Caenorhabditis elegans: one gene and its partners. The protein of the gene in region 2 interacts with the protein of the main gene of each other region in a pairwise test. Each region holds a gene or a part of one and is shown on either strand. Other genes may lie near its edges.

Region 1 (9,999 bases), 3.6 Mb from region 2:
TTGGTGGATATCTGGTGGCAACGAATGTTTTATGTTATTTTTTCGACGGGAAAGAGATGAGATTCAGAGGTTTTTGATGATTGGTATCTTTTTGATTTCATAGTGCAAAAGATTTTCTGCGGAATCGAAAATAACTTAAAAATTAAAAAAAAAGCTTTTATCAATGATTTTCTAGCTTTTGAAAAATTTAAGTTATAATTAAATACTGGTTTCAAAACCCAGAAACCAAAAGAAAAACGAATATTTTAAATAGTGTTGAAACCGAAACACAAACGCCTTGCACACATCATTTTCTTGTCTCTTCGTTTGTGCCCCGTTTCCTCTCTATTCTTGTTTTCTTTGTATTTCTTCATCTCACACGCTATTTTTCAATGCCAAGGTTTTTTCAACAGAAAAGCGCTCCGAGATGTGATCGGACAGACAGGAATGCTGGATGGGTTTTATGGCAGTAGATATCGAGAAATGTCTTGGTGAGACTTTCGGATAAATATTTCACAATGAAAACACAAATAAATCTTAAATTCAATTAAATAAAACATGTTTGAAATGGAGAAAATCAAGCTCAGAATAAAATTTTCAAAAAGTGAACCATATGCGCTGCGAGACCCAAAGCAAGTGAATTGTTGTGTGCCTTTAAAACTACCGTAACCTGGAAGTTTCAATTATCGATTTGTTTTTTAGAATAATTGTTTATTTTGATTGATTTCTCGTATTCACATTCATTTTTTAAATATATCTCCGATTTTTTTCAATCTTCACACTCTCAATTTCACATCATAGACCAAGCATCAAAATTAAACAAAAAAATTTAGGCCAAAACCCCAAAAAACTCCCCGCAAAACCGTTTCTTCATTTTTTGATCTATAACCCAGACGCAAAGGAGCACGCGTGCTATCTTGCGGTAAGAACAAACATAGTCAGATAAAAAACGAAGTAAAAGAGAAGAAAAGGTGAGAGACGCCGAGAAACAGACATTGTTCGTCATTCTATATTCGCTCAATAACACGCTCACACATCCAGTCGTTATCTTCGGAAAATATCTGGAAAATAGAGAAATCGATGCCCAACTTTTGAAAATACTCATTTAATTGCGGAACGCTTAGTAATTTTTCTCAAATCTAAGAAATTACTCAAAGTTTCGAAATTGTTTGAATTTCCTTCCACCGATGTTTTCCTCAAATTGATAAATAATTGTATAAAAATGAATAAATTTTTATTAATTTCAGGTCAGAGCACCCTCAAGCTTGAAGAGTTTTACCGAAAATGCTGCTTGTTGATGAAAAATTGGAAAAACGCAGTAGCTCGTCATCACTTGATCGATTTCTTCCTGATCTTCCAGTAAGTCTTGCATTTTAAAAAATCAATAACTTAATATAAATATATAAAAATTTCAAGTAATTTTTGCACGATTTAGCTTAAAACATTTTTTTTAATTATTGAAAATCATTGACAATTCGATAAGCTTGCATTTTCTTCCTTCTCAAAATTTTCTCACGATTAAAAACATGAGATAAAAATAAAATAAAATAAAGTTCCGATGAATCATAAACTTCCCAAAAACGACCGATTTGCATAAAAAAAGGGTATCATTTCATGAAGTTTTATCAGTTTATTGTGGTTATTGTTGCCCTCTGAAAAAACATTCAAATTTTATATCAAAAACATATTTTTAAAAACAAAATTTTAATATTCCAACAGATAAAACTAGTAAATCTCGAATTGTTTAAGGCCAAAGAGTAATCCCTTTTTGGAAATATAAGCCTTTTTAATAGGCTTATATTCCAATTCATGACAAATCAGTTCCGCTTGACTATTCTCTTTTTTTAACTGCCTAGTATTGTTTTGAAATTTAAATTTTCTAGAATTTCAGATTACAAATGTTTTTAACACTCAATAAGTTGAATTTCTCAAAAATCTTTTTTTTCAAATAAATTTATTTCAGCAAAAAGTGAAATCTCGACGGAAAATGCGAAAAATCATGTGTTTTGTGGGACTTTTCGGCATTTCGACAATCTTCTTCATTGCAGTCTCCAGTTGGTTTTTCATGAGGGATTTAGGTGGTTTTAGAGTGCACTTCTTACTAAATTATTAATTTTATCCTAATTTTTAAAACTTTTTTGTTAAAATTTAATTTTTTTCTCTCGAAAGAACGAAACATTTTTGTTCTCCGATTTTTAAATTAAATCGAAAAATCGACATCTTTTTTTATAATTCTGAAAATAAATACACATTGGGACTTTTCAACTTCACTCCGAACGAATCCGACTCACTGATTGATTCAGAAGTGGGCGGAGCAGAGTGTCGATTGGTGGTAGATCTCATTTAGAAGAAATGACATTTTAAAAGTTGAATTTTTTGAATTTTTTTTTCCAAAAATTTCTACTTTGTTAGTTTTTTTAGTTCAAAAACCCTCACTAGCACATCTAACCTCACCTACCCGAATTAGCTCTTGACCCAAAATTCAAGTTAAATCTCATTTTATTTTATTTTTTCAGACATTTCATCGTCGGAAGATGTTCCGCTTTATAATGGAAATATTTACGATCCGGAAAGAGATTCAAAAAGTTTTCGAATTTTGTTAGTTGGTGATACAGGAGGTATAAAATGATTTTAGAAAAAAGTGTATCTCTAGTAATTCAGGAATTCCAATATTGGAGACGACTTGGGCACAAAATGAAGTCAAACAGACAATGGCATCATTAGCAGATGAACATAGTGTTCAAATGATATTAAATATGGGTGATAACATATATTTTACGGGACCCACTGATGAATTTGATCCAAGATTCGAGGTTTGTACTTTTTTTTAACCCAAAATTTTAGTAAATCCCTCTAAATTTAAAATATTTCAGTCACGTTTCGAAAATGTCTACACGAATCCGAGTCTACAAGTTCCATGGCTCACAATAGCCGGAAATCATGATCATTTTGGAAATGTGACCGCCGAGATTGAATATACAAAACATAGTAAAAAGTGGTATTTTCCATCACTTTACTATAAGAAATCAGTAGAATTCAATGGTACTTCTATCGATTTTTTAATGATTGATACAATTTCCTTATGTGGAAATACAAAGGATATTCAAAATGCTGGTTTTATTGAAATGTTACGTAATGAATCACATGATCCACGTGGTCCTGTTAATATAACTGCCGCTGAAGAACAATGGGCATGGTTGGAGAATAACTTAGAAGCAAGCAGGTTAGGAATTTTGGATTTTTTCAAAAAATGACCTCGCCACGACCTTTTTGTAAAATAAAAACAGGTATGCACCTTTAAAGTACTGTAATTTTTAACTCTTGTTGCGGAATTTTCATCTATTTTTAAATTGTTATATTCAAGATTAAAAAAAAAGGCGCACATTTTTGCATTCAACAAAATTTAGTCGTGCCGAGACCGTGCATCTTATGCCTGGCCCAGAAATCGGAAGATTTCGCTTCTGGGTAATGGAAATTTATTTTAAAAATCCTCTTTCAGTGCCCAATACCTAATAATTTCTGGTCATTATCCTGTTCATTCTATGTCATCACATGGTCCAACTGACTGTTTACGTCAACGTTTGGATCCACTTTTAAAACGATTTAATGTGAATGCTTACTTCTCAGGACACGACCATTCGTTGCAGGTTTACCTTAGTAATTTTAATTCAAATTACTTTATAAATGTTTCAGCATTTCACTTTTCCCGGGTATGGAGAGCATATAATTAACTATGTTGTGTCTGGAGCAGCTTCTCGAGCAGATGCATCAACGAAGCATATTAAAGAATTCAGTAGGGATACGTTGAAGTTCAAGTGAAGATTGAAAGCATTAAAAAGTAATTTCAACAAACTTTCAGTTATCCGGAAAAATCATGGTTCTCGTGGTCACCAGTTTCGCAGCTCGGATTCCGTAAAGGCGGCTTAATATATGCAGAATTTGGACATTACAATGCTCGACTCGATTTCTTTGACAAAAGAGGAAAACAGCTTTATTCGACGATCATCCCCACACGTGTGATCCCGACGGATACATCGACACGATCAACTGCCTCACCGTTTGTAGAAATAGGAATGTAATTAATTATTTAAGCAGTTGAAATTCAATTTTTTGAATATTTATTGAACTCCCTCATAATTTCATGTATAATATATCTTGAACGGGTTGAAAATAAAAATTTTATTTATTTGTTGGGCTCTAAATTGTAATATTTAAATTATTTTTTGAGCTCCGCCACCTTTTTAAAGGTTATTCAGCGTACTTCGTTAAATTATATTTCCGGAAAATAAATTCTCTGCGTCTCTTAAGCTGTATGCAAACGCGCTCTGAAAGGCAAAAGCGAGAGAGGAGAGGCAGCAGAGAAACGAGCGCCATTTTCAATACTTCACAGGATTTACGAACAAAATGTTCTTTTTTTTGTTAAAATTTCAAAGTGTAACGTTTTTTAATCATACAAACATTTACTAACAATATTCCTATCGAATTTGAAAACTTTGTAACATTAGAAAAACAAAAATTCTACTGTTTCGTAACAATGTCTCATTTTAATCAAAGACTAAAGTTTTCTCAACATTTGAAAAAGAATTTAAGTAAATTTTCTTTCGATTTTTCAGCTATATACGGTTTTCAAACTTTAAGTTCAATAATACAAAATCAAATGATTGATTTTTAAAAAAATTGAAACTGAACGTTCAGCTTGAAACAGCGTTGGAAATTTAAGGATGTGCTAAAAAAGCAAATCAATAAAGAAACTTATTTTTGTCTCTTTTCTCTATTTTCTAAAACTTCTCACTAAAGGTAACTTTCCAAAGTTAGATTTTCAGAATGTACAATCCACCACCTGGAGGCGGCGGTGGCAACAATGGAGGAGATCAATCTCAACAACAACCTACAAATAATGCGACGTTGTTTTTATTACAAATGATTCAACAATCACAACATCAACAACAGCATCAGAATCAACAACAACAACAACTGGAACTTCAAATACGTGATCAAGAGCGTATTTTGATAGAACAACAAAGAATGCAACATCAACAACAACAAAATCAACTTCTTCAAGGACTCAATCAATTTCCATTTAATCCTTTAGGATTATTTCAAGTACAAGCTGCTGTTCAAGCAGCTCAGGCACAATTTGCACAAAATGCTCAAGGTTCTCCAATTCCTTTTCATATCGGTTCTCCACTTCAACCATCACATTCACCAGCAGCTTCTGCTCTTCAGCAACAATATCTACTACCATCTCATTCACCGGCAATAACCCCATTTGCTAGAAATAGTGAAGCTGCAAGAAATATTGAACAATTTATTGCACAGGAAGAGGCTGCAAATGTACCAAGGGCCAACAGTCAACAACAATCTCCATTGATTCGTCCGATTCCACAGCAACAAGCTTTGAATATTCAAAATCTCACATCGACTCAACAGGCACAACAAATCCTGGCCCATCATCGTCAGGTTCCCGTTCAACAAGTACAGCATCAGCAGCATATTCCCGTAAATATTTATTTGATTGAAAATTAAAAAATGTCTGAAAATTGGAAGGTCTGAACCTTTCTTTATAGAAAATTATATTTTAAAAAGTTAGAAAGTACTGTAGCGCCAAACAATTTGTCCTTCATTTCTGCTTTCCCGAAATTCGCAAACCTAATATTTCTCAATTGAGCTCAAAAAATAACAGAATTACTTTTGTTTTTCAGCATTTCGTAAGTTTTTTGAAGAAAATGTGTAAAAATTTGAAGTTTAAGACTGTTTTCAAATATTAGATGATGATATTTTATCAATGAAATGCATGTCTGAACTAAAAAAATTTATAGCAATTGACAATTTTATATTTACGTCAATTTAACAATTCATTCCGAAAACCAATAAATCTATTTTTCAGACTCCTCCACTAGCCCTTCCAATTGCTCAACAAGGACCAATTTCTAATGAAGTTCCTTCAGTTCCTCCAGTTGTTCCAGCAACTTCTGCAGGGTGTCCTCAACGTGAGCCTCGTCAACAACAAGGTGGCCGACGACAAAATCGTCCAGGTCGTCGAAAGAAACCAGAAGGTCCACCACGTGTTGATGAAGCTCTCGCCTATCTGAGAGTTATTAAAAGTACTTTCTCATCTGATGTACCCGTTTATCATCGATTTTTGGAAATTATGAAGGATTTTCGTGCTCAGAGGTAATTCTGAAAATTTGAATTTTATTTTTGAAGGTTGAAAATCAAAAAAAATTGTTTTGGTTTTTCCGGGAAAACAAATATTCTTAGATTTACAAAAAACTTTAAAAAAACATTTGTTTTGTTCAAACATAAGATAACATAATTTACTTGAAAAGGCAAAAAATTTCAAGCTATCTTCCGAAATATCGTAAAACCGACACATTTGATGCGGATTAAATTTTGCTTTATTTAAATCCAAAAAAAAAAACAAATATCTGTCTTTTTTGCAGAATTGAAACACCTGATGTGATTGAACAAGTAGCAGAACTTTTATATGATTCACCGGAACTTGTTCTTGGATTCAATACTTTTCTGCCAACTGGATATCGTATCACATTGACTCCAGATCGAAAATATGTTTTTTCTTCGCCACAAATGCAGCCAAGGGTTCGTTTGGATATTTAGATTATACTAAAAATCTGATTTGAAAATAGTTTTAAAAATCCAATATCCACACAATATTGTTTTGCCTCGAAATTAAATTACAAAAAATTTGAAGGTTCTGCTATCGCCTGACGAACGCCGAGCCCGTGCAATTGAAGCTGGAGCACAAGCTGTAGGAGCAATTGAGTTGGGTTCTCAAGAAGGAATATCAAAAGACGAAGACCGTACAATTGAAGATGAAGATATGGATAAAAGTAAAGAAAAAGATGATGTAGATGGAATTGATGATGAAGATGATGAAGAATCTGGAATAGAAGATAAAAATAATGAAGAAATGATGGAAGAAGATAATCATTTGATTGAAGAAATTATTTGTGATGATAGAAAGAAGGATGATTGTGAAGATTCACAACAAGAGGTTTGTGTTGTTTGTTTGAAAACAAAAAACTTGAAGGTTTTTAAAATATTTGATTTTAAACATATCTGAAATCTTCTTTGATAAATTTTAAAAAAATACATACCAACGTTTTCAGATTTTTCTTCAAAAATAAAAATCTTCTAAAATTTTTACTTTTCTGTATTGCCTTCACTGATAGTTGCTGGTTTTCCCAGTTCTTCAACGATGGGCGATTCTCTTGCTCGTTTGAGCTCTATATCTTTCTTTGTCCTGGAGTGTTTACTGTAGCGAAACATTGTTGTCTTTTCAGTACATTTTCTTAGCTATTTATTATTGTATATCAAACTTCTGCCTTCACAAGCCATAATTGATCTAGAAAACATGTAAGTGCCATGTGAAAAATTTAAAAATCGTTTTCAGATCGAAATGTCAAGTGAATTGGCTGCTCATACACTGAACATAATCGAACTTCTCAAAAAATCGTTTCTGGCTCGCCCGACGAAACTTGTTGATTTCATGACGTTCATTGACTTCTTCATGAGTGATCAACAATATAAAAAAGATATGGAAAAATTGAGAAAAGATGATGAGGATGACGAGATTGAAGAAAATGAGAAAATCGAAGTTGATGATGTTCCAGGACCATCCAATGCACCACAAGAAATCAAAAAACCTGATGATATTGAGAAAAAAGATTCATCGAAAAATCTGCAAATTGAGGAATCGTGCTCAGATTATCTTGTCTCAATGCTTGCTAATTGTTGTATTGGAGAACCTGATCTTCTTGCAGCAACTATTGATTTTCTTCCATATCTTGGGAAACTTCTTGTTAATGGATCTGATGCGATAGCATTGGTGAGATAATGTATCCTATATATGATTTTTCATAATAATTAAAAAATATTCTGAAATTCCGAAATACCAAATGAAACACGAAAAAGCGAGGAATAATGAAAAACCACAACTTTCCAAATTCAAGAATTTTTCGTTTTTTTGCATGATTTTTGAATTTCAGAATATTTGCAGTATTCTATAGAAAATTTCCCATTCACGAAATTGCGAAAATTTAAAATTTAAAATAGAAATATCTAAAACAATTCAAGTGAACTATCTAATTTAATTTTCAGTTTTTAATATTTAAATATATTTTGAAATAATTAATTAGAAAAGTAGACTTGATATTTGTTCATCGTCGAAAAATATCATAGATCAAAAAAAAATCTCAATAATCATGCAATTTGCCCTTGATCTACCAACCAGTTTTTGTAAACAAAACGCCTTTTTCGTTTTTGAAAAAAAAAACTATCATTGCAAATCAATATTTTTAAACCTTTTTTCTTTTCCAGAAAATCAAAACAATTCTCCATTTCTCCGCCACCAACGATCGTAACGATATTCCACCTGTAAATCGTGTAAATCCATCCGATGTCGACATGGATTTAGTGAAACAAATGGAAAAATGCAAAATGGGGACTAAAAAGGTTTGCTACTCCTTTTAAAATTAAATAAAATGATTAAAAATTTCAGAATGAAAAACTGAAACTAAAAGTTGCTGGGCAAGGCGATGAAGGAGCAACCGTGGAATTGATGATACTCAAGAAATCATACAGAATTCTTTATGAAAGGGTTTGTTTTAACGGTGGAGTAGCGTAAATGGGGATTTCGATTCAAAATCCAAATTTGTCAATAAAATCGCCGAAGACAAAAATATTAACGGTAATCGGCGATCGCCGATCGCCGTGTTAAAAATTATTATCGGAAAAAGTGTAGAAAAATTACGTCACACATGTATTTAAATACTTGAAAACAGGTGTGACGTAATTTTTCTACACTTTTTAATTTTCCAACACTACTTGAATAACCCCATAACCCATTAAAACAAAATCCAATTCAAGCCACTCGCCCTCTAAAAGTTTTTATCATTTTGCTTATTCAATAAACTTTATTTTCAGCTAAAAAGTCGAACAACACCGAATCAACTGTCTCACCTGATGGTTTTGATAAATGCCTACGCAAATTTGGATATAACCCGAGAACAATTGATTAGTGAACTTCCAAAGATCATGGGAACATCTGGTTCTGATCTTGAAATGATTATTCTCCAATTATTGGGTGCAGAAAAAGAACCAAAAAATCGACCAGAGAATGATATGGATGCAGTTATGAGAAAAGATTTACCTGCCATTCAACCAAAACGAGGTCTTCGTGATCAAAAAATGTTGCAACAAGTGAAGAATGTTGAAGCAGCAACAGTGTGTACACTAGGTCCTAGTTATCGATTTATGAAGGATACGAAAGCAACTGATTGTAGTGGACGTGTTGAGCTGGATGATGATCTCAAAGGAGTATGGAAAATTACACAAATTTAAAAATTTTATTTGAATGATATTTTCAGGTTCTCAATGATACGTGGACATCAATACCATCATGGTCATCTGAAGATACTGGTAGTCAGGCGATTAAGAAATCGAATTTGGAAGAATTTCATTTCAAAACCGAGGATGAACGTTATGAGGTTTGTTTTTTTTCGATGTGAAGACAATTTAACAAATATTCAATTAACAAGATTATTTAAAATTTCAGCTTGATATTATTGTTGATTCAAATCGAACTGTCATCGAACAATTGTCAAAAACACTTCGAGATTACGAGGCGATGAGTGATGAAGATAAGAAGTCGTTCAAGTAAGTATTCAGATATTATATCTACAAAAATACCACATAAAATTGAAAAAAAAAATTATCGAGGACCTCTTAGAAAGGGATTCTGCTACACCGAAATTCTCTGTCCGAACTTCCGAAAATTATTTAGAAAATATCAATTGTTTTTTGAAAACGAAACCGAAAATTTGTTTTCATTGTAAAAAGTGATTTTCAGATTGGACAAATGGCTCAATGCTTCATCTCGATCCACCACAATTCGTGTTCTAGCAAAAGTCTTCACAAACTCTGCTCAAGATTTCATTGATGCTGCACAAAAGAATCCACTTGTAGGTTTACGACGAATTCTTGAAAGTCTGAAGGAGA
Region 2 (13,242 bases):
AAACGATTTTTTTGTCAATAACTATTTTTAAAACTGGGTCTCGCCACGATCTCAGTCACCGTGACTGGTACATGTGCCAATTTTGGCAGATTTCTTTTTAATTTTTTGCCTTGTCTAAATAACCTCCTTTTCAGATGCCGCGTACTCTGGGCAATTGTATTGAGCTGGCTGCTAGCATTCGTCCTCACAGTACTCAATATGTTGACGAGCACCCGACAGAGAAGTGTTATGATTGACACAGAATGTGAAAATGGTACGATTTCTATCTGAAAAAGGGATAAAAGGATTTTAATTGGATTTTTTTGTTCAGAAATGATGAGTGGAGCCTCGTTTTGCATAAAACATCAGGAGACGTCTTTGTCACATTATTTCGTGTTTCATATGATTCTCATTGCATTTTGTCTTATATGTCTTGCAATCACCGCCAGCTGCTACTTTATTCTCTTTAGGTATGAAATTCGTTTCGAAAAAAAAAAGTCTAAAATTCTGAAATACCGCAAAAAATCGGGAAAAAATTAGTCAAAGTACGAATAATCCATAGATTTAACAAAAATATATCGTGAATTCATAAAAGTATGACACTTCAGTTTAAAGGCACATGTTGTTTTACTGAGTGAGTCTCGCCACGATCCCTGCACAGGGATCCCTACAGGTTCCAAATTTTATAGAGACTTCATATGATGTAGATAATGAAGTCTAGAAAGTTTTAAATTCTAAAGTTCTATGCTCTTTTAATTTAAAAAATTTCCAGAATAATCACAAAACTTGTACGAGCCGATGTCAAATACCAAGCTGAAACTGATCTTCTGAAAGAAGATCATTCACACGGAAAATCGATTGCTCGTCGAAAGAAGTACGTGCTAATGATTGGAAGTGTCATTTTGGTATATTCAGTATATCTAACCACTTATGCAGTTATTCAAGGAATGCATCTTGTTAATATCACTAGGTATTTTTTAAATATCAAATCTTAAATAATAAACACGAATTCATTTTTTTCAGCAGAAGCAAAGGAATTCCAGTTCATGCCAGAAGTGGATACATTTTCACAAAATACACGTGTTATTTGTTCATCTCATTTCATTCACTTCTTCAGCCACTTTGTTTCATGAGAATGCGGGAATTTAGAAATATTCTGAAAAGGTATCGTAATTTCACAAGATTTTGACATGCCTACTTGAAGGCGCACGGATTAATTCAAATGGGTCTCGGCGCGCAAAAGTTTATGGTAGGCTTTTTGCGGCTCTTTTAATTTTTAACAGAAAAATGACAAAATTCGCTATATATGTAATAATTTCATCGAAAATGCAAGGAAGACAGCGGCGAAAATTTAAAAAAAACCACCATAAACTTTTGCGGGTCGAGACCCATCTGAAGAAACATATGCGCCTTTAAGAAGGCATGTGAATAAATACACGACATGTCGCGACATAACGAGAACACAAAATTCTGAGAATGCGTATTGCGCAAAATATCTCGTAGCAAAAACTACAGTAATTCTCTAAATTATTACTGTAGTGCTTGTGTCGATTTATGGGCTCGAATTTCGAAATGAATTTCTGTTCGAATTGTGACAGCGATTTCAACTTTCTTTACAATTAGTTTTTTCGTATCATTAGTTTTTTTGATTTTTTGCTCAATTTCAATATCTATAAATAATTTATTTCAAAACTCGGGCCCGTAAATCGGCACAATCACTACAGTAGTCATTTAAAGAATTACTGTAGTTTTCGCGACGAGATATTTTGCGCTTCAAATATGTTGCGCGTTTCTCAGAACTTTGTGTTTCCGTAATAACTAAAAATGCAATGAAACCACTGAAGAAGTTAAATCTTCAATTTTTCAGAACTATTTTCCCCTGCCTAACAAAAACCGATCCGATCTTGACAACGGATGTATTCAAGCGTCACAGTCAACCGACTGATATTTAATAACTTATTTCTTCCATCTCCATTAATGTTTTGTATCAAATTTTTCTGGTCGCTCCCAAGAATCTCATCGCTATTTTTCTATGAAACTTGATTTTCAAAATTTAAAAAAAGTTTTATTAAAAAAAAAAACATCTTACTAGAAAAGAAACAAAGAACGTATATAAAGTGTCGAACGATTGCGAAAAAGCTAAATATTACAGAAAATGTTTGGTCAAATACGGGAAAAAACGATAGATTATATTCTCACGATATAAATAAATTTGAGATTTGAGATTCTCAAACAACAGCTAGATGCTCTAAAATTTGAAACAAACAGAGAATAATTAAAACAATAATGTGACTCGGATAAAAATTCTTTTAGAATTCTGCGTCTACCATCAGATAGTCGAAGTCTTCTTCCTCCTTTATGGTTCCCTCGTCGCATTGACTAGTCAGGTCAGGAAGGCTGTACTGATCAATAGTCGACGGCTGCTCCGATGTACTTTCCACGTTTGTGTAGTCGATTGGAACATCTACATGTCCGAGCGATTTCTGCTTAATCCTTTCGCGAATTTCCTTCATCAGTTTGGAGTCTCTTTCCTGCTTTTTTGAATTTGCGACATTATTCAGGAACTTGATGGAAGACTCGTGAGCATTGAATGTGGATTGGAAGAAGACGAGATGGCTGAAAAATATTCTTAATCAATATATATGGTTTTAAAATACTCACGTAAATGGTTCCTGCCATAATAATTCGTCCGGATATTTGATGTCGTTCTTGTCAATAAATCCTGAATGTTGATTTTGAATTGAAGATCGACTGTATCCATGAACGGACTTTGGAGCACTGAAAACATAATATTTATTCATGATATTTCTCTTAACAATTACTTGTAGCTCGCGATCTTCTCCGAAAAAGGGTTCATATTTAGTTCGACGGCCTGTGCCACTTGCTCTTTAGAGTTTCTTGTTTGGTAGAAAGAAAATGAATGCGAAATAATATCCGCTTCATCCTCATCGGAATTGATTTCGTCTCTTTTTGTTGATCTGATTCCGATACCCATCCTTCTCATTGCTTTCCAATCGACTTCAGGATCGTCTTGTTTGATGTCACTTGTCAAAGACTGAAAAATTATTGCAAATATTTAAATTATAAATTCTTACACACCTTCAGAGTCAATCCTTGCTCAGCAAAAGTGTCACAGGTGTAATCATCTGCAAGTTCCAGGTCCGGTCTCTTGATGCGACGTCTTTTAGGGACTCCTTGAGGTCTGGTCTGCAAGAAATCATTTCTAAATTTCAACAACTAGCATTAAAATCCCACCATTTTTCTTCTATACAGTCGCCTTCTTCGTTGCTTCGGCATCGCTTGTGGTTCGTACTCACAAACCACGTCTTCAGTGTCTGAGACTTCCCCATCTAACGCTTTCTTTTTCTTTTTGAGAATCCTGTCGTTCTTCAACCCACGAGCAATTTTCTGCTCTAATTCTCGGACAATCTTAAAGAAGTTAAATCGATAAAAATTTTTTAAAAGGCAGCATACGCGTTCATCCGGTCGCTCGCCTTCGGAACTTTCTGCAGCATCCACCATCGAACTCTTGTGAGTCTCCACAACGTATTCATCATCACTCTCCTCGTCGCTGCTGCTACTGTGATCATCGTCGTATTCATTTTCTGAAAAACTCTTGTTGTCAGTGCCATCTGCCGATGCGGGCGGTACTTCGATCTCCAACGGATCCTCTACAATTTCTGTTTCAGGAATTCGTGATTTCTTCTCGGGCTGGTTCACTCCCGAAGATTCCGCATTTGCTCTTTTTGATGCGCTTCTCGTCGTCGGTTTCATCTGAAATTAATGTCTCATTATTAAATATAGAAGCTTAAAAACACAATAAATGAATAAGTAAAAAACGTTTATTTAAATTTTAAGTGCTTTCATCTGTTCTTTGCACATTTCAAAGCGGTTTCTAGACTCAAAATACATAGAGATATGCTCAGATTTTAATAAACTACAATTTTAAAACTTCAAAATATGAGAAATTCTCTTGAAAGTGCATTTTAAGTAGAAAATGAACGGAAAAAAATTGAAATATAAAAGAAAAAACTTAAAGGTGCATGACATTTCTTCCATGGGTCTCGACACGAGAACACAACATGTTGACCTGAGTTACGGTAAACTTCGGTTGAAATTAGTTATTTTATGTCAAATTATTCATTTATTTTTCAGTTTTTTCTCATTTTCAATTAGTTTTTAATTAAAAAAAATGTTTTAAAATATTTTAAGTGTCAAAATGGACGAAAGCTTCGACTCTTCTGTTGTCCCTGGCTCTCTGACGAGTGATGACAGGGTGAGTAGATTTGACAGAGTTTTTTTTGTCGAGAAAACGAAAATTTTCAGGCTATATTCAACGAGCAAACATTGAAAAATGGTGATGAAAATTCGAAAAGCTCTCTTGAAGTGATGGCCAACTGCGTTTATCTTGCAAACTCAACAATTCTCCGTGAACGGAAAGTTATTCCTGCGGAATACTTCCAGGATTTTCAAGTTTATGGTGAGGTTTTATCTATCTGACTTGCAATTAAGCATGAATTATTTTATAGGAGATGTCAGCGGATATACTTTGCGACAAGACATTCCAGAAGGACGGAGTGTGTCTTCGAAGCTTTTGGCGTCTCATGACGCGATCCGTCAGAAACTCCTTCAGGTACAGTTTTACTCTCGTAAGTGGTAAAAATTCATTGTTTGCAGAAACTCGCTATTGTCGTTGAAGAGTCACTAAACACGAATCCCGTGGAAACGTTTGTCTGGACCTTTGTCTATGACTCAACCACATCTGCAAGTGCCGAAATCGGATACGGAGGGTTAGATCATTTATCTAAATATAAATTTCACTGACTCTTTTCCAGGCGTAAATCTAAATTTGTGGTGAATTATTTAAACATGGATGATACTGCTCAACAGTTTTGCAAGATGTTCAGCGAGCTTAGAAATGTTCTAAGCCTGCTCCGTCCGCTACCAAGAGGCCTCATTCCATCGATGAAAGTAGCATACAGAGGAGGTAAGGTTAAAAATATTTAATTTAAATCATAAATAAATTATTGTTTTAGAACCGGAATTCGTTCCCGGATTTCAACAAGTCGACGATTTTGTGAATCCTGAGCAGATCAATCTTGGTGCTGTTAGTTTTCCTCACGGCAATGGGTTTGTTCGTCATTTCAATCATCAAATTCTTAATTAAATTGATTCAGATTTCAATTCGCATATGCCTCGAAATTCATGGTTGAACAGCCTTCAGCCATTCGTCCACCAGTGGAAGTTTCTCATTTTGAAGATGATTTGCTCAACTCAACGATCACACCGATCGAAGTTGTTCGAGATAACACAATGAATTGTGCTGAGAATCCTGAACTTGACGAAATCTATTTTTCACCAGGTGCGTTTTGTCGAGAAAAAAAATTAATTTTCTAATGTTTATAGGTCGTCAAGAAGTACGTATGGACGAAGATGTGGCAAACGAATCAATTCGTTGTAATCCAAGTATGGCCAGTGAAATGATGGTTCTGCAGTCCGAATATAATGTATTGATTGCTGATAATGATGAAGTTCCAATGGTTGTTGAAAGGGAACGTTCTCCAATAGTGAAAGCTGCAAAGAAACGTTCAACGAGAGCTCCCGCTGTCCCGATAACTCCAACGGAACCGGCTTCTCCCGTGGAGTCCCCGGTGAAAGAGCAACCTCAAAAAGCGCCAAAAGCTCAGATGAGACGTTCCAGTAAACGCACCACGAAGAACAATGAACGATGCGAACAGAAAGAAGAAGAACCAATAGTGAACCCAAAAAGGGTAATTATTTTTATTGTTATAATAAAAATGTTAAGTTCAATAATTTACAGAGAAGTGCTCGTCGGCTTGTACCTCCAGTTGAAGTCGATGAACAGCCAGAAGAACAAAATGATGATGATGCTCAGAATTCTCTTCAAATTGACTCTGATGCTCAGAATTCTCTTCAAATTGACTCTGATGCTATTATCACCTCTCCCGAGAAGAGAAATGAATCAAAGTCTGCAATACCTGAGGAAGCTGCGGATCTAGATAATACTACATCTGAGAAGCAGGAGAGCTCAACAGCAAGATATGGCGTTTCAAATACTTCTATTAACAGGAAAAAACCAGACCCAGTTGCAAATCCGGTTTCGGAAGAGGCTCAGGTAGATTTGGCGAACGGTAGTATCCCGGATAAAAGACCACGGAAGAGAAAATATGGACGAGTGTCGAGTATTCTCGACGTCGCTGATCTGCCAACTGACGATACAGTGGAGGAAGACGTTCGTGAAAGTCCCATCTACGGTCGTGTACCAAGTATATTGGATGTAGCAAGGGCTGAGGAGAACGATGCTCAAAATGATGCTCAAGATGCTCAAAATGAAATTGCTGTTGAGGGACTTGCCGACTTATCAATTGACACCGAGCAGCATGAAGAAGCAGCTCCAATTAATGTTACTGGTCATCAATCGGAGAGCGTTCCAATCATTGTGACGGAGCATCAGTCTGAAGAAGCTCAAACGGTTGTCACGGAGCAACCAGCAGGAGCAGCTTCAGTTATTGCTGCGGAGAGACACTACGGCCGAGTTTCGAGTATTCTCGATGTAGCTGGTTCGTTCGCTGACGTAGATCCATCAGGTGCCGCTCCAGCTATTGCCACAGAGAGACACTACGGCCGAGTTTCGAGTATTCTTGATGTAGCTGGTTCGTTAAGTGACGTAGATCCACAGGAAGATACCGAAAGCTCCACTCAAAACCAATCGACTTCCAAGAAATTCAAACCAAACCCTCCAAAGGCAATGAGGTACGGCCAGTCGCCGAACATGCCAAGTAGAAGAGGAAACTGAACGATTTCTGGACAATCGTGTACAATTATCAATCTGTTCCATTTTTTTGTTGTTTCTTCGATTTCCTTTTTAATAGTTGGACAAATGCCTTAGTTTTCGAATGAATTTTTTAAATATTAATTTTCATATCCGATGATGATGGGAATTTGTTAAAATACAAAATATTACTTGCATGTGATGAAATATTTAGAGCTATTCAAGTATTTTCCAGCGTTTCAGAATTCTTTCGTTGGCGTTCTTTTTTGAACATAGCGCCGTTTTCTTTCTCAAAGGAGCGCGGTGACATACACTTGTTTCCCTTTTTTCAGTGGCCGTTCGCTCTTTACTCTAATCGATTTCACTTTGGCATTCTGTTCTTATTCCAGCTAAAGTTTTTAAGAATTGTGTTTTTTTAATGAATTTCTCTTTTTGGGTTCTATTTAGTTCGCCACATTTTGAAAAAAATCAACGTTTTTCAGGATAAATGACATCATTAATCGATTCGAGGGTGCTCTACGAGAGTGATTTTTCCATTTTCAACGGTCGACTATGTTCTCTACGCATATCAGCTGTTACCAATAATGAAGAGGGTATTGAAAAAGTGAGATTAATTGGAGATATATTGATTTTTAAATAAAAATAATTAATTTTCAGATTCGAATAACGTCTCCTTCCGATGCTACAATTTTGCTAGATACATCGATCAGTTCTGACGAGTGTTCCAGTTTTATTGAAATTTTGAAAGAAATCTCCACGGCACGGAAAAGCGATCCATCGATTTTAGGACCACGGATTGAAACAATACATTCGGAAAATGAATATCCATTTCAAATGGTTATTGAACCGATTAACAGAGAAAAACATTCGGGAAAAACTCTTCCACTTTCTCATCCACCACCACAGGAACGATGTGATTATGTTCTTCAATTATATGCAAAAGAAAAAGTAAAACTAAATGGTCAGGATTTAATGAAAAAAAAAAAATTTCAGGTACAACACCAAAGCCAAAAAACAAAAGTGGAAGAGTTGACGAAGCAACTTCAACAAGCCAGAGTTGATTATAACACAGTGAGTTTGTGTTGTCAAAATATAGAAAATATTTTGATTCATATGGAAAATAAAAAAAAGCAATCGGCAACTTTCAGCCCATTTTTCCAATGTTCCAGTTGAAAAAAAAATTATTTTCAGATAATTTAAGTGATTTTCTATTATTTTAGACACTAATTTTCATTTAAAAATATTGGAAAACATGCCATTTTGTAGAATTGCCGCCCGCGAATAATTTTTTACAATTCTACAAAATAGCATGTTGCACCATGTTTTTCTTAAAAAATTATCGAGTTTTTTATATTTTATTTTTTAGAACTTTATTCGGTGCTTACGTTAAAAATAAATTTATTTTAAGATGAATCAAGTGGTCAAAAAAAACATATTCTGACATTAATTTTCAATGAATAAAAAAACAAAATCTTTTAATTTCTTCAAAACCGCCAAAAATATTGTATTTTCGCTTCTGAATTCAGATCTGAAAAGTACTAATTAATGAAATAATTAATCAATAACCCTATCTTTTCCAGCTAAAACAACGATGTGACTTTCAAGAAAAAGAAATTGCACTTCTCCGGCAGATTACAAGTTCCACAGGATCTGGAAATCGAAAAAGAAGTCGTGACGATTCTGAAACTACGCATATAAAAAAGCGAAGATGTGGATGTGGAGATGATGGAGAATCGTGTGGTTCTGATTGTGATGGAATGGATGATGATGAAGAAGATGAGACTGATACAGATGTTCAAATGTTTCGAGCAGCCACAGCTCAATTGCAAATGGCTGCAGCAGGAAGGAATACTCAAAATGGTAAGTATTTTGTCTGAACATTGACGAAATCTTCGCGTCGGTTTTCGATTCGCGGTTTTTTCTCTATTTTATTTTTAAAATTAATATTCTTCCCGTTTTTAATAATTCTCTCTGTGCTTTCCCTGTGTAAATATTTTCGTATTGACTTTTCGGTCAAGAAAATGAATTTTCAAAAAAAAACCACAAATTTTCAGACTAGTGACAGGAAATCGATGATGCGAAAATAAAAACAGGGAAGATACGGAAAGAATTGTTTAAAAACGCTGATGTAGGAACACGGACCACGTAACGAATATTTTAATCCAAAAATTTTCAGGCACCTCTTCACATCAAAAACTGAAACGAAAAATTCCAAAAAGTCAGTCGGTTTCTATTGGAAATGCTCGTGGAATGGTCACACTTCCCAACTTATTGCAACCAAAATTAGAAGAAAGTGACGACGGATATAATTATTCTGGACGAAGCTCGACTCAATCAAATATTGGTATAATGGTTTTTTTTTGAAAATTTCAAAAATTCGTACAATTTCCAGACAAGCTGGAGTTGGCGGTTCGTCGGGAGAGTATAGTAGACATCGGAAGAGCCGTCATTGATGGTATAAAAAACAAAACTCTAACTGAAAATCAATTGGAGGTACAGCTTAAAACTTTGAAAATTAAAAATTAGAAAGATTTTTTATAGGAATTTTGCAAAACCACTCACAGACCTAACATCTCAATTTTCCGATTCTACAAAGATTCGGAAGAATGCACCAAAGAGGAAAATGAAGCAATTATGATGGGACAAACTGTTATGGTAATTCGAATTTTTGCTGAAAAAATCTCAAATATGAATATTCTAGATGAAAATGTTGGATCCACAAGAAAAAGCAATCGCCGGAGTTCAAGCATCAATCAGCTCACTTTCAGCAAGTTTTGCGAATCAGACCAAGCTTGGACTGATCAAGCATCAGAGGCTTACTCGTTCATATGTGACTCTGCCTGTTGACTATTTCCCTTCAATCGATCTAACGGAAGCCTATAACTCATCTAATCTCTTCGGAGCCGACGCTACAATGCAGCTCACCAACTTCTACCAAACTGTGCTCAAAAACGTACGGCCTAGTTGCTCAATTCGAATTTTAAAGTATCCTTCAGGTTTTAAATCCGGTTTATATGATCTGGATCTACACATACCGGCCATCAACTGTCAGAACTTGTGACAAACATTTTGTGGAATTCCCTCAAAACGTCATTACCACGTTATTTGGTACTTGTTACAGAAATTCGAATTAATTTTCTGAAACTAATTGAATTTCAGATATGACTACCGATATTGTAGGCCTCTACCTTCCTGAATACTTACTCGACGGTGAAATTGACCCCATGGACCCGTAAGAAATTCAAACAAGTAATTTTAAATTTATTCTTAATTATATTCAGATTTCTTCTAACAATTGATGCTGTCGATCCATTTGAAGAGATTATGAGACGTCGTACCGAAAGAAAATTGGCAAACACTACATTCAATCATGCTCTTGGAAGAGCAATGTGAGGGAATCGTATTACGGGAACACAAAATCCTGAGAATGCGCATTGCGCAACATAATTGATGCGCAAAATATGTCGTAGCGAAAACTACAATAGTTCTTTAAATGACTACTGTAACGCTTGTATCGATTTACGAGCTCAATTTTCGAAATCATTTATTTTTCGATAAAATATTAAAATTAGGAAAAACGATAAAATAATACGAATAAACAAAGGAAAATATACTATCGCTGTCACTATTCAAAAATAAATTTCAAAAATCGAGCCCGTAATTCGCCACACTCACTACAGTAGTCATTTACCGAATTCCTGTAGTTTTAGATATTGTGTGCGTCAAATAGGTTGCGCAATACGCATTCCCAGAAATTTGTGTTCCCGGGAATTCCCGTAATAACCATTGTTCCGTGTTTAATTTAAATTTCAAACAGGAAAAATCTGCGGAGCTACCATTACGATCCAACAAGAGGTATTCTGTTGAATTGCAGTGAAAAGAAGAACTGCGGAATGCATTTACAATGGGAACAAATGCGAAAGTTCCGGGAGTACTGTAGGAAGGAAAATGTTGCCTGTGATGATGCGACTCCGGAAGAAATGATTGCTTTGTTAGTTTCGTCGAATTAAGGAATTTTATTAATTCAGGAATTTTCAGCAATCTCCGTGCATCTAAAGTACATTACGAAGACTATAGCCCTGGTGATGCATCTACATCGTTGAATAATATTAACCCGGCAACAGAAACTTAATTGATAATTTCTAAATTATTTTGTTTTTCACTTCACTTATTTACATCTCTTCTTAATTGTACGGTCTCGAGAATAAAAATTTTATTTCTGGTTTTAAAGGAATGAAATTTAGTGAAAATAAAAGAAACAAAAATTGAGTAGTTGCAAAATATTTAATTTTTAGGTAATGTTTCATCGGAAGAAGGAAATAAAAATGAAATGCCAAATTTTATGGAACAACTCGAGAAGTTTTCCAGTGTTATTGTAAAAGGTAAAGCTTTTTTGAGAGAAATAATTTCTAAAATTCAAAATTTGCAGGTCCAAACCTTCCATCAACCTCTACAATGAGCACAATGCACATAAAAATGGAAAATGGAAAAGAGCAATCAGGCCCTCTTCTACTACGAAATTCACCGAATGATCAAAATCAGAAAGTCGTTGGAGTTGTTCAATACGTAATATGTCAACTGTGTCCAGAAGAAGAACAAAAATCGATGGATTTATCGAATCAGAAGCAAATGGAAGAACATTTTCTGAATAAGCATGTTGATAAGGAGAAAAAGAAATGCGAAGCTTGTCCGTCGGATCAGTTTCAGCCACATAATATTGGACAACATTATCGATTGCATACAAATAGGTGAGAATTAGAACTGGCGTTTTTTTGGTTTTTTGATGTTTTTCATGTTTTTGAGAGAAAATCGAAAATCAAAAAATTGAAAAACGAAAATTTTCGATGTTTTTTTTTCGAAAAATCGAAAAAAAATGTACAGAAAATTAACCATATTTTTAAAATCCAATTCAGTTTATATTGATGAGAAAAAACATTAAAATTTCATCTAAAAGAAGAAAAAGACCAAAGTTTTAATCAAATTTTTAAAAATTCGGAAAAATGTCGGAAATATCGAAAAACGAAAAACTTTTGATTTTTCGTTTTTTTCAATCGAAAATGTTTTTGTAAAAAATTAGTTTTTATCAAAAAATCTAAAATTTTCCGTTCTTCGATTTTTCGGAAAAAATCGGAAAAAAAGACAGCTCTGGTGAGAATACAGATTTTTTGTTTTAAATTAAAATTTTAAATTAATATATTTCAGTGTATTTGCATGCGAGCATTGCGGCAAACGAGGACGTCGGAATTTTTTGAAGACCCACATTCGAACACACACTGGTGAAAGACCATACAGAGTGAGTTATACATTTGAAAATATGCTTCCCAAATATAGATCGATCAGGGAATTTTTTATTGATAAAATGTTATTTTTAAAGTTTTGTAAATTTTTCAAAAATTTTGGAATAAAAGGCTAAAAAAGGCTACAATTTAGTTAGATCCAAAGTTTTGCAGACAATGATTATCACAAAGAAAATTCGACAAAAAAAACAAAAATCGAATTTCTCAAAAAAAAAACCTTTCAATTTTTTCTTTTACAATTAAATATTAAAATTTTTTTTTACAAAATAAAATTTAAGTTGTTTAAAAAAAAAACAACATTGTTGACATTTTTGAAAAAAAAGGTTCTTACTACAATACCACTTCCAAGGCGCACTCCGTTGTATTTTGAATCGCCTTCCTGTGAAAAAAAAATTCAAAATTCTCTCTCGTATTTCAGTGTGACACATGTTCGAAATCGTTCACCGATGCCTCAACACTGCGTCGCCACGGACTTGTGCACACTGGTGAAAAGAAATATCAATGCCCGGTGTGTGGACGAGCGATTGCACGGAAAGATAACGTTAAAGCTCACATTCGAAGTCACGGAATTCAAATTTAACGCTTTTTTATTGTCTATCGAGGTATTTTTTGAGTGGAAGCGTTGCTTTTTTTGTTTTTTGGAAAATATGTAATAAATGTATTTGCACCATCACTTGTTTTTTCTTGTTCGTTTTTTGGTTTTTGCACCCTTATTAATGTCTCTAGTTCCTACAGGCATGCTTTTTTATCTAATCTAATCAAAATTTTGGAATTTTATTTGGTTTTTTGCCCAAAATCACCAAAAACGGTGCAATAAAACGAAAAGTTTTTGAAATTTCCTAAGTTTTAGTGTTTTTACAATTTTTGAAATTTAGAAATATTCGGCCATTTGGAATTTTTTTTTGCGAAATTACAAAAAAAATAATTTTAAAAATTTAGAAAAATTTTATAAATTTTTACAGTTATTTTTCAGTATATTGAGACTGTTCTCTGACATTTTTGACAAAAAAAACCTACAGACGCCGTTAAAATCGAATTTTTGCAAAAATTTTTTAAAAAAAGTTGTTTAGGATTTAAAACTTGAAATTAATTTAAAATTATCAAATTTAAAACATTTAAACTAATTTACATATCTGGCAAAATAATGTATATAAAAATTTTTTGAGAAAATTT
Region 3 (10,023 bases), on a different chromosome or scaffold from region 2:
TTATTGAGAAAAAAAGTTACGAAAATCTGTTAAAGAAATGCGGAAAATAAAGAAAATAAAAATTGGGGTTAAGTAAGTAAAAGAACCCGAATGAGCGTTCTCGCCTCCGGCGAGATATGCAGAGAAAGGAAATCAGAAACCACGCGCTGTCGCAAATTGGGTCAAGATCAATTCTTCCATATTTGATCTACCGAAGTTTGTAGGTCTAGAAGTGGTCTAGAAATTCTGATAATGTGTAGAAACGAATAATCGGGATTTCTGGAAAGAAAAATGCTAGTATTTTTAATTAAATTGTTATAATAAAAAGAGATGCAAAAATCGAACTTATTATATTTTGTCCTAAAAATTTTAAATCCCAAAAAAGTTACAGCATAGAGTGCAATTTTATGATTCACTATTTTCAGTCATTAATTTAAACAAGTACCACATAAAACTTAGCATAAAATAATTGTTCATTGTTAACTTGAGTACTCAAATATCACGTGGTGTCAGAATGTCCCATTTCGTTGTGATCTACAAAAAATGCGGGAGTTTAGACGTAGAGTTCTCAACTGATTTTGAATGGTTAAGAACGTGCTGACGTCACATTTTTTTGGGGAAAAAATTCCCGCATTTCTTGGAGATCAAACCGTTACAACCTGACACCACGTGAAATATAAGTATGAGGGAGTGTGCCAAGCAAGGGTTACTGTAGCTATCGTCATAAATATTAAAACCTAAATGCCATTTTAAAAAACCTAAAATGTGAATAGTTTTACATGTACATTTACAATATCTAGATTGAAGATGAATTTTAAAATAGAAAACGCGAAATTTGTTCATTTGGTGTTTTAATCTATTAAAAATACTTCACTTGTAATTGAAAAGTACCTAATCCTTGACCCCAACATATGTTATTGACATGTCCAAGGTGGTAATTGTTACAACAGGTGTGACCCAACACTCATCCTGTTGCTCTGCCATATAACCTCTCCTCCCAAGGTTTTTTGATTCATGTCAAAAATCGATTTATTTTTGATTTTACTCTCATTTTCTATAAATTTAAGTCTAGCTATTGACGATGAATGTTACATGACTGTGGTAAGATTTTGAGAAAAATTATTTTATTAATCTCAGAACAAATTTTTTTGTAGCCAGAAATAGGAAAACACTTTGGGTATGAATCAGAAGTACATTTAGTGAGAACAACGGATGAGTATATTCTGGAACTTCACAGAATCCCATGTAAACAAAATGGTAAGTCTGTCATTTTAGTTAAAAATGTGACATTTGAAAATTAAATTTATTTCGTAAACGGAAACTTCAAAATGAAGTATCGGCAGTAGAGATTTTGTACAAGTTTTCTCATTGATTTTTAACATGGCCGATTAAACAAAATGAATAATTTCAGATTTCTCTTTGTTCCAGTATTGGTAAATTTCCAAACTGTCAACAAAAAAAAGAAGTTTTTGAATAATTTAATATACATTGAATTTTGCTGTGAATTACCTTTGATATCATCTCTAATATTTTTCAGAAAAATGTGACAGAAGCTCAAAACGTCCAATAGTATTCATGCAACACGGCCTCCTTGCGGACGGATTCTCTTGGATTCCGAATCTAGCAAATCAATCGGCTGGTTTTGTTTTCGCCGATGCAGGTTTTGATATTTGGATTGCAAATAGCCGTGGAACTCCTGCATCACAAAAACATATTGGCTATGGACCGGAAAATCAGAAATTTTGGAATTTCACGTGGCAACAAATGTCGGAATTTGATTTGACAGCGAGTGTGGATTTGGTATTGAAGGAGACAAAACAAGAGTTTTTATATTATTTGGGACACTCACAAGGAACTATGATTATGTTCTCAAGACTTGCAGAAAATCCAGAATTTGCAAAGAAGGTATTTCAATTTATTGCTAGACACAGAGAATTTTAAAACAAATCTAATTCGTTTCTAATTATAATTAGTCAGACAGTTTTTCGGCACCCGTGCGATGAAGGATGTATTTGACATGTTTTTGTATGACTACTCGTATTATGGGGTATTGTAGTTACAAACAGTACATTTTGTTGTGACTACTTATGTAGTTGCCGTAATCCAACATTTGTTTCTCAAGCTCATGCTTTGCACAAAATTGAAAATCACGATCAGTATATATTTATAGTTTCTGTATGCTAACAAACATTTTCTTTGTAGAAAGTTACATACGATCAGTTAATATGCTTTTAGTCTTTCTTTACCTCCTCAAAAGCAACAATAATTTAAGATTCGTCATTTCCATGCATTGGCTCCAGTTGCAACAGTATCCCATATCGGTGGTCTATTTGGATTGTTTGGGACAAAGTTTCTAACTTATGCAGAAATCTTGCTCGGTCGACTTCCATACTCTCCACTGTCAATTCCGCGAACTGTTCAAAAAATGATAAGTTACATGTGCAGCAGATTCTTTATGCAAAATATTTGTACATTGGACATCGGTTTCATTGATGGAAATGAGAAAATGTTCAATCAATCAAGAGTTGGTGTATATCTTTGTCATACACCTGCAGCCACTTCTGTAAAAGATTTGCAACACTGGATTCAACTTGTCAAATCACAGACTGTTTCTAAGTTTGATTATGGAACTGATGGAAATATCATTGAATACGGGCAACCTACTCCTCCGGAATATGATTTGACACAGATCAACACACCAACTTATCTCTATTGGAGTCGTGACGACATTTTGGCTGATACTCAAGATATTCGGTTAATCAATTATATTAGTTTTGATGTAACTAAATGAATGATTTGTAGAGACTCGATTCTGTCAAAAATGAATAAAACAATCGCTGGATCACTGGAACTTCCACACTACAGTCATATGGATTTTGTATTCGGTACGCATGCTGCATTTGATTTATATCCGGTAAGTCTGAAATCAAATTTCCTACTGAATAATATCTTTTCATTAACGTTAGACCGCGCATCTGTAATATTTACACTTTGTCAAATTTTGGTAAAACCTTTTGATTTGGTTTTGATCAGGCCTTGGTAAAGACTTCATGTGTGCGTTCTGGAAGGTTAAAAAAAATGAAAGTTGGTGGGTCAGACTTAGGTCACCTCATATTTGAAATCTGTAACACGTTCCGAGCAAAGTTTGACCAATTTCTGGCCAAGGTGTATTCAAAATGTGGTCACTCTTTCTAGACATTGAACAGAAAACATTTGAAAAGGAACGGCTTCTGCAGAAATTCTCTCTAACATAAATTAATAGAGTTCCAAAATATTTCAATTCCTTATTTTCCCACTTTTTCGTTTTTGAGCAATGGTCCAAATTTTCCAAAATGCCGGGTTTGGTTGTTCTTAATGTTATATTCTTATTTTTGAAATTACATAATAAGGAGTTATTTAAAAACAAATTTATTCCAGAAAATCATCGAAACTATCCAAGATGACTACAACAAATATCGAATCACTCGGATGCACAAATTGAAGAAACATTTATGATTTTTCATCGATTTTTTTTCAAAAATAAATAAAACCGTGTTTTATTGTTGTTTTAATGGCCAAAATGTACCTATAGGCTACAATGTTCTTCTTATCAATTGATCGCTAACGTGGGACACATCTGGCATATATCAATGCAATTTCTTTAGATCTTTTAATTCGTTACAATTGGTTTTATTTTGAAATTTAGATTTTTGAAATTCAGAAAAATGGATAAAGTGCCACAAGCAGTGAGGGACTATTTGATGGAGGCTCATCAATTGGCGGCTCAGGTAACTTTGAAAACTAAAATAATAAAGTTTTTTGAATGAGAAATTAGTTATTTTCCGCTTTTCCGTATCCGTGGGCACTCTGTAGATTTGTGAATTGTTTGTTTTTGGTATTTTTCAGTGAGGGAAGACCACTTTTCGGCAGAATTTTGAATTGAGCAATGGTAGAAATCACTAAAACGATATCGTTTATAGTATATAGAGAACAGAAAATAGCTGAAGTTACAGATTTCGATTTCATTGATAATATAAAATATTAGTTCATCCGGCAAACATCGGAATAATATTTTTTTAAAGTATTTTTCAAATATCGAAGAGCACGACTATATGATTCAATGGCAAAATTCTAAGTTGTGGTGAAAAATAATAATAAACAAGAAAATCCCTTGATTAGTCAGTTGCCAAAATTTTTGAAGAACTTGCTCGAGAAAAACGCGCATTTTTACACTTTGCAAAGTTTTTCAGCATTCAGCTTTAACAATATCTGAAAATCACAATTTTTTTACATCAGAATATGAAAATTGATCATTTCAGTGGTCTCTTCCAAATGATCGCGGTGACTACATAAATTCGAAATCAATTCCAATCAAATCAGTGGCTGTAATTGGAGGTGGAACCATGGGAAGAGGAATTGCAATCGCATTTTGTTTATCAGGATTTGAGACGTATCTTGTCGAAGTTAACAATAAGGTAGCCATAAAGTTTAAAAATAATATCAATTCAGTTAAACTTGTTTGCAGGCTGCCGAATTCTGTAAAAATGAATTGGAAATCACTTACAAAAGGGAAAAAGCATTTCGAAGACTGAACGATTCAAAAGTTGAAAAATTGAGAAAAAATCTACAGATAACTACAGATTTTCAAAAGCTAAATAATTGTGATTTGGTGAGTTTTTGTTTTTATTTTCAAAAGAAAAAAAAAGAAAAATTTCAGATTGTAGAAGCCGTTTTTGAAGATATGAAACTGAAAAAGGAACTTTTCACTAAACTTGATAAAATTTGCAAACCATCATGTATTTTTGGAACCAACACATCAAGTTTAGATTTGAATGAGGTACGCTTTAAGTTAACTATTCCAAAAGAACATGTTCACTTTCAGATGTCATCAGTACTTAGAGATCCAACAAAAGTAGTTGGAATTCATTTTTTCAATCCGGCAAATTTGATTCGAATGGTTGAAGTGATCTACGGATCGAAAACTTCCTCCAAAGCAGTTGCTACAGCTTTTGAAGCATGTAGATCTATCAAAAAGCTACCAGTTCTTGTGGGAAACTGTCCAGCATTTGTATTTAACCGGCTACTTGGAGTTTATCTGAATCAGAGTCAAAAGTTGATGTATGAATACGGATATCTTCCTCATCAAATTGATAAAATCATTACAAACTTTGGATTCCTAATGGGTCCTTTAACAGTAGCTGATATGAATGGATTAGATGTAATGGAAAAGTTGAAAAAGGAGAATGGATGGCCAGCAAGTGATTTTGAAAAGGAAGTTTGGAGACAAAAGAGATACGGTAGAAAAACAAGTACGTCTTTAAATAAATTGTGAAATGAACTGAGAAACGGATAATTTCAATTTCTTTGGAGTATCACCAGCGGCAAATAGTTATACATAGGTTAAAAAACAAATACCTTCGCTCCGGCTATAAGAAAAGTTTGAAATATTTGACAAGCTGAAGTCTGAAATTTTTAAAATATTTTTTCAGTGGTAATGATAAGTGCCAATCAAAATTTTGAACGTTCCAGAAGGAAAACCGGAAATTATTGTTTTCAATTTATTTTTTCAAAATGAAGATTTTCAAAACTGTCACGAAAAGCCCAATATTTTTTACCAATTTAGGTGTAATTTTCAGATAAGGGATACTACAAATATGATCCAAATACTCACAAAAAGGAGAATGATATAGAAATGGAGCAGCTCATTCGAAAATTTTCTTCAGCTGCAAGTCCAAATATACAAATTTTGAACGATCAGGTACTCACTTTCTAATTTCATTCAAATTCAACCGAAAACTTACCAGGATGCCGTCAATTTCCTCTTGTATCCCATGGTCAACGAAGGTCTTTTGTGCATTGAGGAAGGAATCATCCATCATGAAAGTTTGATCGATATCATGTTGTAAGTAAAACTTAATTTCAAAAAAAAATTAAAATTATGAGCACAATTGTTTCAGCATTCTCGGGTTTGGATGGCCTGTTGCTACTGGTGGTCCGATGAGATTTGGATGGCTTCAAGGAATTGAAAAAGTTGCGAGCACAATTATTCTCTGGAATTCTTTAGAACCAAATGATAGAACATACAAAGTTGCGGCCACGTTGCAAAATGTGGACAGGAAGAATTTTGCAGCGAAATTATAAATTTTGTAGTTCGTTACCATGTTCAAAGAGATGATTATTGTAAAAACATAAATAAATACCCTGTATACAATTGATCTACTATGTACAAGAAATGACATGCTGGGGATTATAAATTTTGTCGAAAGTTTGATGCAAATCAATCTGCAAGACCAATTGCCCATCTCTAATTCTGAAAATTAAAATGTCTTCTGTATTTTTTTGGATAAACCCCGTGAGGTGCACAAATAATAATTATAAAAATAAAAGTACGGTACATTTAGCGAAAAACGGATCTTGAGACATTCAATTGTACACTTATCATTATTATCAGTAACATGGATTTTGTGGGCGTTTTTCGTATTTCAACCGGACAAGCACTGTCATATGAAATCAACCCTTACTCTTAGACATTTGAGCTTGAAAATTGATAAGAAAGTGGAAGTAAATGTTGCCTTACAGAATCACAAAAATCAACATAAAGACTGCCTTGCTGAAATGACGTTTTGTATTAAAAAATATTACTGATTGTGTTGGGATTAAAAATTTGATATCAAAACGAAAAATACTTGGTAAATAGGTAGAACACACATTTTTTCAAGAAAAAAGTGTTTCCTCTGGTGCTCGATATGACCGACAATAAACTTCAAATTTTTAGCTGTACTCTGTAGGGCACAATAATTATATTTAAAAATTTCAGTTCAAGCCAACTTCTGTACAAAATCCACCTTTAAAAAATTTCAGACAACACTTTGTTGAGCCCTACCAGAGATACGCGTCCATCTGCATTATTTTTCAAAAAAGTTGGCGATAGTTTTTTGTTCGGATATCGTAATAATCTCACGATATGCTGCGCTATGAAAATTGGATGTTTTTCAAAGTATCAAAACAAGTTATAGCCTAACATCTTAATTTAGTAAACAACTCCAAATAAATCACATATGTATGTACATATACAGATAAGAAACAATAAACTATACACAGAAATATTCACAAGGCACATGTTTGCACTTGATTTTTGAATTATCTAGATCTAGACGGAATTTCGTGTTTTACTCTTAAACAAAGACGACAGTGTACTGAAAGCACCAAAGTCTCATCAGCTCTTATCATCAATGAATCAACAAACAGACAGTGACAACATCGACTAGATCATTTTCTGTCCGGGAACTTCACGGACGAAATGTCGGGACAAAATCCTCTTTGTTATCACTAACGAAATATTTGGAAAAGTGGGCAGTAAAAACGTGATATATTACAAATGAAAAGTACCTATAAAAGGGTGGTCTGAAAACTCTGAAAAAATATTAACTGTATCGTGTTTAAATTTTTCAAACATTTTTTAAACTTGTATAAACAATGTTGTTCAGCCGATTAAATTTTTATACTCCAGAATTGAAAACAATCAAAAAATGGGCAAAGTTCCAGAAGAAGTCAGAAGCTATTTGATGGAAGCTCATTCCTTGGCGGGACAGGTGATTTCATTTCCAATTAAATTATTTGAATTGTATACTTCCAGTGGTCTCTGCCAAATGATCGAGGTGATCACACGAATTCTGAAGCTTATGATGTAAATTCCGTAGCAATTATTGGCGGTGGAACTATGGGAAAGGCAATGGCAATCTGCTTTGGTTTAGCTGGAATTGAAACTTTTTTGGTAGTACGAAATGAGCAGGTGATATAGATCTTTAAAAAAAAACATAATTTGTATTTTTATTTTCAGAGATGCAAGCAAGAGTTGGAAGTTATGTATGCTCGGGAAAAATCATTCAAGAGATTAAACGACAAAAGAATCGAAAAAATCAATGCAAATCTGAAAATAACATCAGATTTCCATAAGCTTTCAAATTGCGATCTTGTTTGTTAAATACTTTAACGACATTTTTTAAATGTAAAATTGTAGATTGTTGAATCAGTAATTGAAGATATGAAATTGAAAAAGGAACTATTCGCCAACCTCGAGAACATCTGCAAATCAACTTGCATTTTTGGAACAAATACTTCAAGCTTGGATTTGAATGAGGTAGAGCCTTAATTTTGCGAGAAATTGCTAACTTTAAAATCTATAGATTTCATCAGTTCTCCGCGACCCAAGCAATCTTGTTGGAATTCATTTCTTCAATCCTGCCAATGTGATTCGATTGGTTGAAATAATATACGGATCTCATACTTCATCACAGGCAATTGCAACTGCTTTTCAAGCATGTGAATCAATAAAAAAGCTTCCGGTTCTTGTTGGAAATTGTAAATCATTTGTATTCAACAGGCTTCTTCATGTTTATTTTGATCAAAGTCAGAAGTTAATGTATGAATATGGATACCTTCCACATCAAATTGATAAAATTATCACGAATTTTGGATTTTTGATGGGACCAATGACTGTTGCCGATATGAATGGATTTGATGTAATGGAAAAGTTGAAAAAGGAAAATGGACTTGAGCCGAATCCGATTGAAAAGGAAATGTGGAGACTGAAAAGATACGGACGGAAAACTAGTGAGTGTATTTTTAAATGATAAATTTATCAAGTTTTGGAACATTCTGTTTTTTATGGGAATCTTTGGAATCCGTACAATTTTTACTTTTAGACAAAGGATTTTACAAATATGACGATAAAACCCAACGGAAAGAAAATGACACTGAAATGGAACAGATTATTCGTCGAGTTTCTCAAAATGCCAAATCTAACATTCAAATTATAAATGATCAGGTATTACAACTATTAACTCGAAATTTCAGTTAGTGATTGTTTCAGGATGTGATTAATTTTATGTTGTATCCTACTGTAAATGAAGGTTACCGGTGTATTGAAGAAGGTGTTATCAGTAATGAAAGTTTAATTGATATCATGTTGTAAGTGATATCATGTAATATTATAAGTTGACCGATAGATATTATTTCAGTATTCTCGGTTTTGGTTGGCCTATTCATAGTGGTGGACCGATGAGATTTGGTAAAACTGAAGGACTTGATAAAATTGCAAATATGCTTGTTCACTGGAGTTCCTTGGAGCCCAAGGAAAGTGCTTATATTGTTGCTGACGCTCTTAAAACTGCGAACAACAAACTGATGTCATCAAAACTATGAACTAATAAGATTGATGAAGTAAAATTCACCGTTGAGAGGATTGCTCACTCTAAGTTTGTCACACACATTAACCGGTTTCAAACGTCTCTTTATCTACATTTCCAGTTTTTTTTTTAAATTAACTTTTTGAGTAAATATTATATAAATGTCAACTGGTATTTATAAGCTTGAGATTTCGGTTTTCATTCTGTATTATTTCAAAAAAAAATGTCTGTCCCGTCTTTTATAATGGTTTTTTGAAACAGTTTTTGTTAAATTGAAAAAAATTGCACTTTCTAAATTTCTACATGTTTTGCTGAATTTAAGAATAAAAAATGCTATCAGGAGCAGTATTGCAAGAAAATATAGAAAATTGCATTGCAAATATTGCAAATATGCTTGTTCACTGGAGTTCCTTGGAGCCCAAGGAAAGTGCTTATCATGTTACTGACGTTCTCAAAACTGCGAACAACAAACTGATGTCATCAAAACTATAAACTAAGATTGATGAAGTGAAATTCAATGTTGAGAGGATTGCTCACTCTCAGTTTGTCACACAAACTAACCGGTTTCAAACGTCTTTTTATGTCCAGTTTTTTGCATCAACTTTTTGAACAAATATTAACTAAACGTCAACGAGATCATTACAGTAATATTTTCAGTGTTTTTGAGATCTGGTTTAAAGTTTTCCTTTGCCATAAAAAAGGTCTTGCGATTCCGGTATTCATGTTGTATTATTTCAAATATTAGCAAATTAAATTCATTTCCCGTCTTCCAATTTTTTTTTGAAACAGTTTTTGTTTCATTGAAAAACATTTTCCACTTTCCAAATTTCTGCAACCTTTGTTGATTGTAAAATGATAATCTTTACACCTCTTTGAA

What was found.
Region 1: the proteins of F57C9.4 (region 2) and sin-3 interact in a two-hybrid assay, tested with the Caenorhabditis elegans proteins (one large-scale study listed by BioGRID).
Region 3: the proteins of F57C9.4 (region 2) and ech-8 interact in a two-hybrid assay, tested with the Caenorhabditis elegans proteins (one large-scale study listed by BioGRID).

Annotation. Positions count from the first base shown.
Region 1 is NC_003279.8:8,412,029-8,422,027, forward strand, and holds the start of sin-3 (Paired amphipathic helix protein sin-3), read left to right. Parts: upstream 1-4,802; 5' UTR 4,803-4,803; coding exon 4,804-5,478; intron 5,479-5,866; coding exon 5,867-6,153; intron 6,154-6,422; coding exon 6,423-6,579; intron 6,580-6,691; coding exon 6,692-6,994; intron 6,995-7,393; coding exon 7,394-7,828; intron 7,829-8,319; coding exon 8,320-8,454; intron 8,455-8,500; coding exon 8,501-8,599; intron 8,600-8,925; coding exon 8,926-9,318; intron 9,319-9,368; coding exon 9,369-9,488; intron 9,489-9,556; coding exon 9,557-9,657; intron 9,658-9,850; coding exon 9,851-9,999. Other genes in the region: F02E9.7 (Tartrate-resistant acid phosphatase type 5), read left to right, coding at 1,264-1,338, 1,943-2,033, 2,496-2,597, 2,641-2,792, 2,853-3,202, 3,479-3,626, 3,673-3,794, 3,839-4,058. UniProt on the Caenorhabditis elegans protein: Probable transcriptional repressor required for the deposition of dimethylated 'Lys-9' of histone H3 (H3K9me2) on asynapsed chromosome pairs (both autosomes and sex chromosomes) during meiosis, but this does not seem to solely affect the transcriptional status.
Region 2 is NC_003279.8:4,822,881-4,836,122, forward strand, and holds F57C9.4 (C2H2-type domain-containing protein), read left to right. Parts: upstream 1-7,259; coding exon 7,260-7,376; intron 7,377-7,429; coding exon 7,430-7,720; intron 7,721-7,765; coding exon 7,766-7,843; intron 7,844-8,352; coding exon 8,353-8,632; intron 8,633-8,948; coding exon 8,949-9,116; intron 9,117-9,164; coding exon 9,165-9,265; intron 9,266-9,313; coding exon 9,314-9,427; intron 9,428-9,473; coding exon 9,474-9,725; intron 9,726-9,768; coding exon 9,769-9,880; intron 9,881-9,931; coding exon 9,932-10,004; intron 10,005-10,053; coding exon 10,054-10,161; intron 10,162-10,589; coding exon 10,590-10,763; intron 10,764-10,810; coding exon 10,811-10,854; coding exon of another isoform or gene 10,855-10,904; exon of another isoform or gene 10,905-11,067; coding exon 11,068-11,154; intron 11,155-11,201; coding exon 11,202-11,520; intron 11,521-11,974; coding exon 11,975-12,065; intron 12,066-12,487; coding exon 12,488-12,649; 3' UTR 12,650-12,742; downstream 12,743-13,242. Other genes in the region: F57C9.6 (G-protein coupled receptors family 1 profile domain-containing protein), read left to right, coding at 135-253, 311-449, 752-949, 1,003-1,143, 1,847-1,931; tofu-4 (Twenty One u-rna (21U-RNA) biogenesis Fouled Up), read right to left, coding at 2,289-2,595, 2,641-2,757, 2,802-3,034, 3,079-3,186, 3,235-3,408, 3,454-3,753; htp-3 (HORMA domain-containing protein), read left to right, coding at 4,199-4,255, 4,306-4,459, 4,509-4,612, 4,657-4,769, 4,815-4,966, 5,016-5,109, 5,157-5,341, 5,386-5,750 and 1 more.
Region 3 is NC_003282.8:10,232,775-10,242,797, reverse strand, and holds ech-8 (Enoyl-CoA Hydratase), read left to right. Parts: upstream 1-3,621; 5' UTR 3,622-3,683; coding exon 3,684-3,746; intron 3,747-4,277; coding exon 4,278-4,433; intron 4,434-4,483; coding exon 4,484-4,627; intron 4,628-4,675; coding exon 4,676-4,795; intron 4,796-4,840; coding exon 4,841-5,267; intron 5,268-5,594; coding exon 5,595-5,716; intron 5,717-5,762; coding exon 5,763-5,860; intron 5,861-5,915; coding exon 5,916-6,099; 3' UTR 6,100-6,172; downstream 6,173-10,023. Other genes in the region: lipl-7 (Lipase), read left to right, coding at 994-1,080, 1,134-1,236, 1,517-1,884, 2,252-2,733, 2,782-2,893, 3,397-3,474; ech-9 (Enoyl-CoA Hydratase), read left to right, coding at 7,488-7,550, 7,595-7,750, 7,799-7,933, 7,979-8,098, 8,145-8,571, 8,664-8,785, 8,831-8,928, 8,979-9,162.